2 linked regions of the Lepisosteus oculatus genome follow. The protein of the gene in region 1 interacts with the protein of each later gene in a biochemical or structural test. Links are inferred from orthologs where the notes say so. Each region holds a gene or a part of one and is shown on either strand. Other genes may lie near its edges.

Region 1 (7,715 bases):
GTCAACATTTTACAGTGATTTAGGGTGTTTTCGTAAAGGTAAAATACTTGGTTTTAATTAATAAATGTCCTAACTCTTAAATGAAGCGAACCACAACGTAACACCGTTTGGTATTGAAATAGCGAAAACTATACTGTTTTAAACCATGAAATGATTTTTACCATCGTAGATAAAAATACCTTGTGTTGTTTCATGTTGACTTTATCAAGCCATACTGATGCGTTTCAATGCTGAAATATTTTCTATATAATATGTTCGTAATTACATGAAACATAATTTTACAGAAAATAAGACCAGACGATCATGTTCCCAAAACGTCCAAGTAACACTTTAATATATTCTGCCCTTGTTGTCAACTACAAGAATACACATTTACAAGCCATAAATAAGAAATACACAAACGATAAATTATTCGTCTGAAGCACTTCACTCTCCCAAATTGCATTTTAAATTCAGTATTTACCGTGCCATAATTTGTAACATTGTTGTTTTGTTTTTTGTTCCGTTTCAAAAGCTGCGGTGGGAGTTTGAAAACAAACAAACAAATCTTGTCATATATTAACACCCCTTTTACAAAAAAAATACTAAACAAACTTGACATCTAGTAATCATTGGGAAACATCAAAAAAATATTTTGGAATGCGTGTGCACAAACTATTATTTTACAAAATGTACAAATTGCTGGAAAAGGTCCATTGTGTTGCAGAAAACTTAGGAAGAGTTCATGATCGGTCTAGAATACACACCTTGATAGTAAGACGTGTCAGTGGATATTGGCGAGGTCTCCAAGCCCCCCTTGCTGGTCATCGAGCCCATGGATAAGGCTCCTGTCATGGGAGACCCATACCCAGAGTAATGCATTACCTGCTCATAAGTCTTTAGGTCCATTTTGTGATGCTGCTGCTCCGACGACATTAAATTGTTAATGGAGAAAGGGTGGTTGAAGGAATAGTGATGCTCCGGCTTCAGGTGCGCTTCATGCGCTAGGACGGAGTGGTGTTGCGACAGCAGATGCTGCGCCTGAGATGTCGGGGACGCAGCGTGTTCGGGGCTCAGAGCCTGGCTGGACTTCATGTCCGACAGCGACCTTTTGGGCTCGGTGGAGGAGGACGCGTTGGAATTGGGAGACTCGTTGCCGTTGCAGCTTTCCGAGCTGCTGTTAGATCCGCCTTCGGAGGTCTTCCTGCCGGACTCCTTGGAGAGTTTTTTATCGCACTTGAAGCGCTTCTGTCTCCTCAGGTAGCAGCCGTTCTCGAACATGTTCCCGGAGTCCGGGTGCAGGGTCCAGAAGGAGCCCTTTCCCGGTTTGTCGGGCGACCGAGGCACTTTCAGGAAACAGTCGTTGAAGGACAAGGAGTGGCGGATTGAGTTCTGCCAGCGCTGCTGGTTTTGACGGTAAAAGGGGAAGAGGTCCATGATCCACTGGTAGATCTCGCTAAGCGTGAGCATCTTGTTAGGCGACTGCTGGATGGCCATGGTAATGAGGGAGATGTACGAATAGGGCGGTTTGGCGTGCGTGTAGCTCCTCCGGTACGTTTTCGGGTCCCTCGATCTGTTGATGTTGGACTGTCCGTACATGGGGCTCATTGCGTTCATGTTGGGGTAGGACGTCAAGGCGTTCATGGACGGCGGCTGCGCGGTCATCGGGCTCATGCTGGGGCTGAGAGCCGCGCTCATGCCCGCCATCCCGGGGCCCATGCCGTTCATGGAGCCGGCCCCGGCTGGCATGCCCGTCATAGAGGGGCTCATGCCCGTGTTCACGTACGACATGTTCATGGAGCTCGGTGTCATGGTGGCCGCCGTGCTCATGCCCGACATGCTCATGTACGTGTTCATGGTGTTCATCCCCAGTCCGGTGTTCATGTTGCCAACGGATGTGTAACACTGTGGGAGCAGGAAAAAAAAAAGACACACAAAAGTTAAGTTTTCGAATCACTGGCGGTTGTGTCAAAGGCGCTTAAAACAAACTTGGCACCACAGTTAAGTTTTTGTTTGTTAATGAAAACAAAACTTTAAAAAAAACAAAACAAAAAAAAATGGTGACCCGCGACCTATCATTGATTCGACAAAACGACTTCTATAAATGTTGTTCCTCATCCAAGCGTTGTCTTCGTTCGAGCAGAAAAAAAAACCCAACTCGAATCTTACATGAAACGTATTTAATATTTTCAGGATAATCAAACAAATGTGCTTTCAGCGGCTAATCTAAAATGTATAAAGAAGTCCCATGAGCGAAACTGATTTCCTCAAAGATTCTTTTCACGAGTTCTCCTTAGAACGATCACAGGACGTGAAAATATCAAATTGTACAGAAAACAATACAGAAAGTGTAACAGAAACCGAAAAAGAAACATTGAATGCATATTCATTAAGTAGTGAATGCAACTCGACAGCACTATATAGCAATTACATGTGTATTTTCCACTACAGAATGAAAGAAAGCAATCCTTAAAAAACAAATTATCCATGACTTGTATGTAAGCAGATGAAGTCAGAATTCCAGAAAAAAAGTTTCTTCTTGCATGCCAAGCCCAACTTTGTTAGGATAGCGCAGCTCGGAGATCGGGGAGGATTTGGAGACGCCTCAAGTCAATATTTGATCACAAAGTTAATATTATCTCAGGGCTAATATTGAGTTGTATAAAATGGGATCGGCTTTAGGAGGAAAAAAAAAATATATATAAGCTACCAACCTCGGGCTCGCCGTAATAGGTGCTCCAGTCTGAATGCTCGTGTCCTTCCATTTTAACTGCACCCAGCATTGTGGAAGCAGCGAATCCACCCGGTCAACAGCTTCTCTGGAGAAGGTTTTTTTTTTTAAAAAAAGTTCTCTAGAACAAGACTTCGGACCAACGGTAACCCAGATCGCTGGTCTGCTTTCTACTCGGGGACTCGAGCATGTGTAGATTTCAGACAGTGGTGCCCAGAGGCGCTGAATAGCGTCTGATGATGACAGGAGCTGAAATGACGTTGGTGTCTGGCTGTAAACGCTGTGATATAGCTCTGTGCGCCAGGCGAAATCTCCAATCCCTACTTCTGCGTTGCCCTATTTGAATAATCAGCTCACACCTAGGCGTGAGACTCCCCGGCTTGGCCGCCTATTGTACACCTGCGCTAACTAAAAAGAACAAACCCCATTTGAAAAGATTCATTATAACCTAATCTGATTGTTTTCCAGGAGAAAAGAGTTGAGTTTAAACTGTTGTTGTAAGAAGGCTTTTTATCATGCACTTTTTTTCAGCAGACGGAATTAGGAATGCAGAGAATTGCCTTCTTTTTGACCTTTTTTTGTTTATTGCCAGGAGTGTGGTCTATATTCCCTGTTAGAATCGTCAGAAACAAGACTAGATGTTCACTTCTGCTGTAAAGAATCGAATTGTATTCCATAACATGAGGTCAAACACGAGTAACTTTTCCTTTTTTTTTGTTTTATTTGACTTGAATTTGTTACCGCTTACAATACTGGCTAATAAAACATTTTTAAACAATGCTTTTTATCAAACGCATTGTAATCTCAATAAAACGTGTACGGATATCTCATTTCTTCCAGTTTCAGCTTTCCCAATAGACGATTTACAAGTGATTTTATAAGTATTAAACTACAGTTAATAAATCCTAATATTAGTCGTAGAAGTGTGTTAACATTCATCTACTCATTTCAGCCCTTTTGTCCTTCTAAGGTCATCGTCATCGGATAATATTTTTTGCTCTAATTCGTTTAATCACTATTTTAGACCGAATTCAGACCTTTAACTGTACAACCAATTCATCATTTGCCTGTTCGGTATCATTTTTTTAGCTTGGCTAGTTTTGGCCTAGAGAAAACCGAAAATCTGTTTTTGAAAAACACTATTTCCAAGGTTTGTATGCCCATGACATTTCGCAACTAAGTAAACTAAAAACGCAAAACGAATTACACAAAGCACAACGTGGACCTTGTTTTATTTTCTCTGAAGAAAACAAAAGGAAACATGAAATAGGATTTATGAGTGACCTGTCACCAAAAACAAGCGGAGACAATTCCCCGGTGGACCAATTTTAAATTTGAGCAATATTGGAAGTTATTTATATCAAAATTATATTTCAGCTACATTTTCACAGAGAAATCCAGTTTTATTTTCTCAGTTACAGGAGCAGCATTTGAATTTAGACTCATCTCGCACGCAGCCGCGTCGCAGATCACGAGTCATCATTTTATTGATTCTGGAGAACCCGCAGGCTGTTTGATATATTAAACAAAGTAAAGTTTATTTAATGTGTTTGACCATCAGAGATTTAACAGATCTCTTCAGCGATGGCTGATAAAGCAGGCTTCAGAAAACACTAACATTCTTTCAAGTGAAATTAATCGTGCTATTTCATTGCTAATATATTTACTTATTACACACACCAAACGGGAGAATTCTGCATGGACGCAGTTCTTGGAGTGCCGTAGAAAATCGCTGAGCGTGGATATTACTATACTGATGGTCTTTGAATGTATTTGTAATTTCATATAGAATCAACACGATATCTAGCAGCATTTCACTATGTTTATTGATAATAAACGAGTTCTTTGAGTTCTTTGATAATGATTATGCATGTAAAGATTCGAAGAATTCAGGATTTGAGATTCGTCAACAAAAATAATTTCTATAGTAAACTATACAATTCCTTTTAAATCAAGAATAGAGATATTTTTTTAATTTCGATGGAACCGTATTGAGCCTTGAACCCCAGTACACATATCTTCATACATATTCCATAAGCTTCTCGTTCTAATTTGTCGTTAGAAAACACCGACCGTTCTAAGTAAAAAGAGGTTTTCAAATATTATTTATTAATGATACTCTTGATAATTTGAAGAAAACCAATCTGGGATTAATTCATTTGAGAGCGCCCTCTTTTGGAAATAATACAGAACACAAATGCCTTTATGCACAGGTGGAAACACTGTATTTGTGAACTCGCTGCCCCAGACATCAACGCGGAAATAACGAAACAAATCCGTATTTTCAAATGATTCATTACCGTTTTAAGTACTGCAGTCCTGGAGTCCCGTGATCTATTTCTTCTCTACCTCTTGCGTGATTTTCAGCCTTTTCAAGGTAAGCATGCAATTGTACTGTAGGTATTTGTTTCAGAAATACTCTTATTTCACGACAGCGGCTTGTGTAAAAACAACAACAACTTGCTCTCTTCGCTCAGAGTTCGCCTAGAGCGCCAGCCTGTTTTTACAGGACTCTTTTTGAGGGTCTCCCCAACAATGTCTACCATGGGAATCTAAGACCACCACCCCTCACCCCTGCTCTGAACTGCTCCTCAATTCACTGTATAGATTCTGGGGATTAAGATGCAGGTAACAGTAGTGAGAAAGGGCTGTGCGATTAAGGAGTCTGGTAAAGTGGCAACAATCCCTGCTGTAGATTTCTTCTGTCACACAGATGGCACAGTGTTGTGACCTTTAGCACGTCTGCCTCACAGTTCCTGGGTCCCAGGTGGGACTTTGCGTGTGGAATCTGCATGTTCTCTTCCTGTTCAGGTGGATTTATTTGGGAGTTCTCTGGTTTCCTCCGCCTGTCCAAAGCCGTATTTTTCTGCCATCTCTTAATTGGCTCCTGTATCAAACTGTGTGCCCACTGCCTGCCAAGTTAGGTTCTCACTTGTCATGACCCTGTGTGGGACTAAGTTGTTACCGAAATGGATGGATTATTATTACATATCACATTGGCCAGCCCTTTGTCCCATCTGTCCCACTTGTATTGAATTCTGCGGCAAATAACTTTTATTCTACCAAGTCTTCCGTATCCTCCACGTCTTCCATAATACCGCTGTGTGAGCTAGTGAGAGGTGGCTTTGTGCGAGAGCCACATGTTAATTGGAAAAACCTGGAGAACGAGGCACAGCTATTCTGCCTGAGTAATTGGAACTCAGTGGGAGTGAAATTCCACGTGAGGGAAAGGAGCTGCCAGTATAGGCTCTGTTTGGGATTAACCACACCTCTCGGCTAATTAAAAGGTCACTTAAACCAGCTAGGAGATAAAGGGCTTTAAGACGTTGTCTGCTCTGCGGTCTGGAAGAAGTGAGACTCAGAGCTCTGGAGGCAAATAACAAAGTTGTATATACTTGACATGTAAAGTATAAAACAAAATGCCTTAATGTATAGGGAGTAAAGCATTCCTAAAACAGTATGGAAGACAGTCTCCCAGGTCTTCAGTTCTGTACTTTGGTCCCGTTGCAAACACATGCAATCATCACTTGCAGGTGTAGATGCAAGTCACAGAACTGTTCAGTGTGCAGGTGTCACGCTCGCCTAACGACTGTTGGAGGACTGGATGCCTTATTTACTAGGCAGTGTTCCGGTTCGGGCTTTTGTCAGAAGGGGATAATAGAGATGTGTGACACTGACCCACCTGTCTAGTGCCTTCGTAGTTATATGTAGATGTCCCAAACATGTCCCATCACTGATGTTACAATCAGTAGTGTAGTGTTTCAGAGGTGGCCTGATGGTTTTTCTGTAATATCAGAAGCAGTTAGCAACAGTTCTTGGAATAGTCCATCTTGAAGTACACCTGGTATTTTATACCACTCATAACTGGGTTATCATGGTATCCCCCTGTGTGGGATAGAGTCTTTCCATTTTTGAAATTGTGAATGCTGAATGTGTTTTCTTTAATACTTCAGTTCTCTGGGAAAGAACATACAGGAGGGATTAGACAGCATTTAGGGCTGGGCAGATCTAGATAGAATACATGCGATTCTAGTTATTATTAGTACTACTAGTGGCCCAAACAGTTTAATAAATTCAGACACATATACAGATGAAAAATAATTGATAAAATCATAGATATAACCAGATCCCTCTGAAAAAAATGACTATAATGAACTACAAGCACAGGTTATGCAATGGATGGTAAATCAATAATAAAGGTTTATTCTGTGTTACAGTAGTAAAAGAAGGGTGAGGTAAAGTGTTTCAGGAACAATGATGAAAGTATAGATTGTAGAGAAAGGCTGAAAGAACTAAACCTTTTTAGTCCCGGTCAGAGAACTTCAAAGGCTCTGATGAAATCAACCCACTAGACTTCTGCAGAATCAAAAGTGAAACATGAATCAAAGGATAGAAGTGGAAACTACAAAAATAATACAGTGATATGCATTTACTGTAACCCCAAGAAGGGTGTCACTTTTTACATACAGCATTATGGGAGTCTTAAAAAAGCTAACCAACAATGCCACTGAAGATGATAACCCGGCTTTTTCAAGAAACGACTGAACAATATGATCAAATAGCTACTGGCAGCCAAATGAGTTAGACTGGTCAAACGGACTCCCGTTTTCAATATATCTAGCGTAGTATATATTGCATTCTGAGTTGTGGACCACACAACAAAAAGGTTTTGTTGCCTTTGAAAGTGATTAAATTAAAGTGACCAGAATATTTTTGGATTGTAGAGGAACATCACGTACAAATAGGAAAAAGGAACTGAAACTCTCCAGTCTGAAGCAAAACTGATAAAAAGTCAGGAATGGAAATGATAAGAACAGCCCAAAGATAAAAAAACATATAGAGTAACAAGTGGAAATTAAGGGGAGAAATGGGGAGGATTTAATATGGGAGACACTGATTGGTCAGTCAGTTTGTTAAAGTGAATATTTTGAAATCCTGCAAGCAGGAGTTTATACTGGGTGAAATTTTGTGATTAATTATCTACTAGAAATCATAAAGTCATAAA
Region 2 (7,467 bases), on another chromosome or scaffold:
GGGATAATAAAGTTTACGGCTTTAAACTTAAAGAAGGATTCAGAATGTTGCCATTTAGGATAGAGAAGCACAGACCATCCTTCTGTGTAGTGGTAAGGAGCATTTAGTCTCAGGCGCGTAATTATGGGTGAGTACAGTTAAATCTGTTTTTCGACCTGTTGAATTTCTAGTGAGAAGAAACTTAAGTACGTTAGAGACGACAAACAGAAAAGTCGCGTTAGAGTCTGATAAGTCAACAATTTTAAACATAAATCTAGAACAAATCTGCGGCAATGAATCAATTTTTATGTTTTATCTTTCATTTTGCTAAATGGGTTCACGCTATTCGTTTGGTTTCGTTTTCACTGCGTCAAGGATAACGGCTGTATGATAAAACTAAAGCTGGATTAATTTTAAACGTTTCCGCGCAAGTAGCTGCATCAAGTAGGGCAGTCTAGTACACTCGTGAAGGCCGCATTTTCCCAAATTTGTTTTGAGCACAAAGTGCCGAAATGCAACACACAATACATGAAAAACTGTAGAAAGTTTATTATTTTTATTGTTACTTCCAGTCATTCTTAAAAACAAATACAAAAGCGATCACGATCTGTTCAGACAGCCAAGCCATGACTATGCTGAATACCTTTTCACAAAAACACACATCACTGTCGCTGCGCTTTCAAGAGCAACTTACTGAAGTTCGTGCAAAGAGTCATACAAAGGCACAGCAAGGACATAAAGTTGTGGAATCATTGTTCCCTCACGTGTTCACAACGCACTACAGTTACAGATATACAAGGTAGGTAGTATTTCAGTATTTTAAATTAACGATAGCATTGGTTACAAAGAAAACGTCGATTTTAAGAAACCAGTATTTCCTTGACAGCTTGGAGCTATTTAGACATTCAGCATACAAATACATAACACATATTAGCAACACATATTATTATTTTCGTTATTTTTTTTAATTAGAGTGCAACACATAACAATTGTACTAAACGGATTTTACTGTTACTTTAAGTAACACAAGCTTATTTTGCTCCTTAGTACAGTAAATAAGTTAAAACGTTTACCCCATTTTTTTGTCAACACTAAGCCGATAAAAGACAAAGTTTTACAGAAAGCAGCTGTAATCATACAAGCAAGACCAGTTGAACGGATTAAGGATTAAAAGGCTGGAGCTGAAGGATGTGTTTGACCCAGCGCTCAGGAGTTCTGGAAAGTCTGTCGCTCTGACTGGAACAGTCCGTCGGTTTATTGCCAGTACTTCTTCAAGTGCTTAGAAATTAAGGACGGTACGCGGCTCCGGCTGCTGCCATGCTCATGCTTTTCAGTTTATTATCTTTTTTCCATTTCATTCTCCTGTTCTGGAACCAGATCTTAATCTGTCTCTCCGAGAGGCACAGAGCATGAGCTATCTCAATCCTCCTCCTCCGGGTCAGATACCTATTGAAGTGGAATTCTTTCTCTAGCTCCAGCGTCTGGTAGCGTGTGTAGGCTGTTCGAGCTCTCTTCCCTTCGGGTCCTGCGAGGTTGTCTGTGACACAGAACCACATCACTTACATCACTAGAATAATAATAATAACAACAAGAACAATAATAATAATAATAATAATAATAATAATAATAATAATAATAATAATTGGAAGTGGGAAAAATCACTTACACTGTTTACTCTTAATCAGACATATCCTAAATCCCTCGAATTCACTAAGCACAACAACAATGGCGTTCAATTACAATAAGAATATAGTCACTGGTTGCCTGGTACTACCTAGGCTCCACTGGTCATCATTGGTCAGAAAAGTAGTGAAGAAAAATCACTGATGTATATTATTTTAGCCAGCATCTGAATTTTCTATTTTTGAAATGAACGTTCATTGCCAATATGCGACAGAGAGGCGTCTGTCAAATATATTAAAACTTCTGAATCCCAACCGTCATTTGCAAGAACAAACGCACGAAGACCTCTCTTCAAGGTTAAAATTCGAGCAGATTGTGAGCCGTGCTTTGGGGGATGCCGTTGTGAATCCGCCCCGATAGTCAGCATTCTGCAAACATTTTGTTTGCATTTTCCTGAATGGACACAGAATGTGCATGAAACACCACACCATCCTCAACTTCATGCTGTGGTCCGTCTCGGGCAACCACGCACACTCGGTTAAAACATGCGGTATCATTTAATCCCACCATGCTGCATTTCAGTGTCCAAGGAAAAACAAGTCGGAATAACAGTAACAACACACTGAAATGAATAAAAGAAAAGAGAAGCAGTTTTACCGTGGCTTATGTGCAGCTTTCTCATCCAGGGATATATCTGGGGCTGTGATGTTTCGCTCGCGTTTTGGCCGTTCTGTGAATTTGTCTGGACGCTGCCCGCCGAGTTGTCATCCTGGGGAGCAGGCGGCTTGCCTGCACCGTCCCTGGTTAAGAGAGCGCTGCTGCTGCTCGAACTAGAGGAGGAGGTATTAGGGCTGGCTATGGAGTTTTTAACAGCGCGGTGAGTTTCGCCGAGAGGCGAGCTGGCAACGGAGGAGCAGGGTAGAGGGTCAGGAGGTGGCGAGTGAGTCGCGGAGGCAGGCTGATTGTACCTGGGCTCTGCGGATGCGGCTGTTGCACTAGATGTGTAGCTGGGAGCCCTTTCACTAGAACCAAAGTGACCGGAGGTCGAGCGCCCGACACTAAGATCCATCCCATTGTAACCGTAGCCGTACCTGCTGGAATGCATGGTCGCAGAATCTCTGTATTGCTCGTTCACAGAGCTATGATCTCCATAATTATGTAACTGGTAGTCCGGGCTATTAGGATAGCGACCGCAGAATGAGTTTACAAAATAAGAGCTCATTTGTTGATATTGTTCTATTTTTTTAGAAAAAAAAAGATATGTGTGTGCTTGATTTGTGGTCTTGGTCGTTTTGTGCGTCTATAGCACCCCTGCACAATTTATGATGAATTATGGAAATGACTGGGACATGTACTTGATTCCCTCCTACGTAGGCACCCAAATATGGGGTACGACTTTGAGTCACGTGCTTTTGTTGTCCAGTCGTAAATCCTGCCTGATGACCTCCAGAGGTAAACTCGTGCACAAACAGGAGAGCTGGGTGGATGCCGGCGCCTGGGAGCGCGCACGGGGAAGGGCGCCGCGCTCCGGCGGCTGCTTCAGTTGTCGTCTTGCGCCACCCTCTGGAGACTCGGCCGAACTGCCCGTTTCGATCAGGGGAGTGCGGGCAGGGGTCGAATAAAGGTTAACAGGCATTGCTGCAGTATTACTCGCGTTTTATTCATGATATGATTAATGCAGCCTGAACGCTATGACTTTTTATTGCGCCTTTTCGCCGCAAAAACAAATATAATATTCGCTCCTTTGACAATTTGATATTTCCCGGCGATTACTTCTTCACACTGTTTGGATTGAACCGCAGCCGCGGATGGAATTGTAATTAAATTAACTGTAGTAAGCAATGTAATTCCGCTGGAGAGTTATTTGATCCTTAAGGCTTCGGTTATTTTGTTCTGTTCCTTTTGAGGATATCATATCTTTCTTTAATTACTGTAAATGCGTAACAACATAAAGCCTGCGATTTTTTTAACCCACAACACGGATATTCCTTGTGCGCGCTTTTGTTTTATCTCATAGTTCCTTTCTTACCGCGTTTAGGGTTATAACAGGAATGAATGTTATACTCGCTGGGTGAATGTAGGCAGTGTTTTGCCTAAAGCTAAATCGCTATCTGAAGGCGAGGAATATTCCGGAATATAAGCTAAGTGCTATGTGATAAACATTACGTATATTCTTTATAATGCATTAAGATGAAGAAAAAATAATGTTAAGTATATTTTTTTATTAAAACGTCCCCTGGTTGGATTTGAAATCATTGAATAGTGTAGGGTCCGGTATATTTAATTTGGTCAAAAACGGGAACAGTTATAATTTTGCGCCCATTCATGCTGAAACATAATTACGGTGTATTTTTAAAATATATGATTTATATTAAATCACAGTACCGACACTCGAATCCGTTCATAATAATAACATTTCGCACAGTGTACGCGTTGTATCTGCGGTTATGTAAATTCGCCACATTCCTTGCCTTCAGACGGCGAAACACCTTCACACTTGGTTTCTGGAAAAACAAATTTCATAGCTATTTTTTTAAATAAATCACTAGAGCAATAAAGAAGACATTTTCGGAACAACGTCCGTATTCTTAACGGAAAAGTATCGGAATTATTATTTTTCTAAAACTACATCAAATAAAAAAATGAATCTAACAACAATTATTGGACATGTTCCTAATCTATAGATCTGAATTTCTTATTTCAGTAACATTTAAATATTGCTTACGGTTACTTTTAAATTAAGATATGTGACGCTCTAATTGGATTACATAAAATATTTTTCATTTTTTGTATCACAGCAATAAATAAATATATACGCAAATTAACTAGTAGAATATTGTTCTGAATTTCCACATCGCAGGAAAGGCCTACAAGCACAAGCGGGCTACACAGAGCACTCCCCTGTTTTCTCTTTGACTTCCTCGCTGTTCTCCTCTGCTGAGCTCAGAATTTTGTTCTCTTTTTTCCACTTCATGCGTCGATTTTGAAACCATATTTTAATCTGTCGTTCTGTTAGACAGAGAGCGTTAGCGATTTCAATACGACGGCGTCTAGTTAGATATCTGTTAAAATGAAATTCCTTTTCCAGCTCTAGAGTTTGGTATCTGGAGTAGGTCTGGCGCCCACGTCTCCCGTGCGATCCATATATTGAAGCTGGAGAGAAGGAAAGAATTGACCAGACTATTTTTTACATCCAATGCAGTCCACACCTCATTTTAGATTAAATATACATTTAGTGGCAATCCTGGAAAGGACAGTTATCACCGTAGTACATGAGCATGTCAGAAACTGCCACTCAAACTACATTCAGCTGTACGTTTGCAAACGGTGTAGTTAATCTTGGACACAACACTTTCTATTTTTAGAAATCTAAACTCTTTTAAGTTTTGTGAAGAAGCATAGCCCTGAGATTCACGCTACAAAGTTGACAGAGCAAAATTTTATCAAAAGAGTTTCACGTTTCGTCTACAGAAACTCAGAGGTGCAACAGTAGAAATTATTTCAGCTTCTCGCATAACTTTGCAAAGTTGCAGGAATGATGGCGAGTTGAGCTCTGTACTCACCATTGCAAGAGTTCATCCTTTGCATCCACGGGTGAGCCGATGCAGGGTACTTCCGGTCGGGGGGCTCATTGCCGAAGATTTTGCTTTGTGTACAGTCCGGTTTACAGTGCTGGTCACCACAGAACTGCAGGCAACTGTCGCCTGCCCCCTGCTTGTCGCTGCCCGCGGGGTAAACGCTCACTGGATCCTTGTCTGAGTGATAACAGGACGGCCCATACTCATAAGGCGCTCTGGTGTTAAACACAGTGTTGTGTTGCTGATAGAAACAAGGGGGTGGAAAAGTCTTGTCTGGAATCGCAGAGGGTCCATGAGGAGCTGGGAAGTGCCTGAGTGCATCATAGCCAGATGTGTACAGCGGGATTTGTCCGAGGAAAGAATCCTGCCCAGCGGGAAGGGAGGCAGGGAAAGCTGGGTTCACAAAAAACGAACTCATTTGCGCCACAAACCGAACTATTGTGATTTGTTGTGTGTTTGTACATCTGGCTATAACTATTAGTGGTCGCCCAAGGTTTGTTTCTAGGTGGCTAAGCGCCAAAAGCGACAGCAGCGAATATAACCAGCTGATTGTCCGCTGGCCAATAGAAACCGCTCCACAGAGCCATCACTCCCCAGGGTACTCGCCGTACAACCAGTAAACTTACAAACAGCCTCATCAGTCCAGAACCGGGAGCCGGCCAATTAGAGTTCAATAAGACATTCCACCGGACTGTTTTTGTAACCGAGAAAGAACAGAGTGCAATGATGTCGAAAACGAAAACAGCCTCACCTACACTTTGTGTGTAACTTACTGCTTTCTTCTGTAAATAAAAATACTGTTTTTCAAAGCTCGTATTTTGAACCAAACGACACATATGTACACGTGACTGTTCGGAAGATGCACACAAGTTTAAATGAACGTGTCCAAAAAAAAACATCGGAGTATTTTAGATGTGCGAAATTTAGAGGTATGTATTTTCATATATGAAATACGAATTTATACACGAACGATTGTGAAATCTGCTGTTAGTAAGCTTAGATGAGAATAATTTTCTGTACAATTACCAATTATTTTTGCAGTAGAATTCTAAATCTTACATAGAACATTTGTCAGCTCTGATTGTAAGGCTTGAGCATGTTATTGGTATTAGCATCATTGACGGACTATAATAATTATGTAGATAATGATTATTGTTGCCGTTATACACGTAAATACATTGCTTGCTAGTCATCATTGAAAATGCTTAATGTACCCTGTGTTATGTATTTAAGAGATGACTCTGGGTGACAGCTGGAAAGTCGCAGGCCTCTAATTTCCTCACAGGCGTAAAGAAGCTTAAATAAGCACGTACTGTTAGAAGGCTCGGAGCGCTCTGGATTGCTGTAACTCTAACACAGGATCTTGTGATATTTGGCGGTTGATGGTTTACTGCATAATTGCATTACGTATTGTGTCCACAGCGATCATTACCTCGTGTATACATACGCTGCAAATATCTAAAAATACTCAATTTTGTGCTGAATTGACAAGCGGTGCTAAAATAACGTTTTCTAACCTGAGGCGTTATATTATCTGTTAATTTGAACAAAACCAAAGTGCTGTCCGGTTTCCAAAACAAATACAGTGTTTTGACTGAATATAATCACATTCAAGTGTGTCGGTTTCTTCTCCACCTGCCGTCTTTATCACTTGAATTATTTTTTTTCAACAGATTTGTTTAATTATTCACCGAACTCCGAAGATAATCAACACCAAGGAACCCGAAGCCGAAACTCCAGATGATCAAGACGCAAAAGCAGGCCATGTCTCGAAGCGGTATATTTTGACTGCTCTTTGGAGTTTATTGACAGTTAAATATGATAATTTTTTGTCTAGGTCACAAATTATTAACAATTATTGTATTCAAAAATTACGGAAAGCCTTTGATTTGAATTGATTTAGAATTGATTAGATATCATTCGATCAAAGTGAAAACACGTACACAGTGATACCAGTGAGTACGAATGTTATAACCGTGCACCACGGGTGCGAAGGTAATTAAATAAAGATTAAAAACTAATTAAAGCAATAAGGTCATACAAAATAAGGAAAATCTTAAGAAGAACAGCAATACGAGAGTATGCATTACTTGTATTATGCTTTTAGTAACAAATAAACTTGATAGACCTTTTTATCCTCAACATGGCTGTCTACTTTTGTATCGTATTGAGGAAAATCTTTTTTTATCTGACCAGTAGTTTTGTTAAAATTCGATTAGGTCTGCAATCAAGATTTTATATGCTTTTCGAACTGTGTTAATATGTATAATTATTTTTCTACATGTAT

The links. The genes of interacting proteins can lie anywhere in the genome.
Region 2: the proteins of foxa2 (region 1) and hoxa5a form a complex in vitro, tested with the Homo sapiens proteins (2 studies listed by BioGRID). The link is inferred for Lepisosteus oculatus from reciprocal best matches to the Homo sapiens genes FOXA2 and HOXA5.

Annotation. Positions count from the first base shown.
Region 1 is NC_090697.1:10,720,378-10,728,092, forward strand, and holds foxa2 (forkhead box protein A2), read right to left. Parts: upstream 3,020-7,715; 5' UTR 2,763-3,019; coding exon 2,694-2,762; intron 1,885-2,693; coding exon 712-1,884; 3' UTR 302-711; downstream 1-301. UniProt on the Homo sapiens protein: Transcription factor that is involved in embryonic development, establishment of tissue-specific gene expression and regulation of gene expression in differentiated tissues.
Region 2 is NC_090705.1:562,681-570,147, reverse strand, and holds hoxa5a (homeobox protein Hox-A5a), read right to left. Parts: upstream 2,833-7,467; 5' UTR 2,825-2,832; coding exon 2,260-2,824; intron 1,517-2,259; coding exon 1,266-1,516; 3' UTR 514-1,265; downstream 1-513. Other genes in the region: homeobox protein Hox-A6, read right to left, coding at 4,487-4,755, 5,166-5,598. UniProt on the Homo sapiens protein: Sequence-specific transcription factor which is part of a developmental regulatory system that provides cells with specific positional identities on the anterior-posterior axis. Also binds to its own promoter.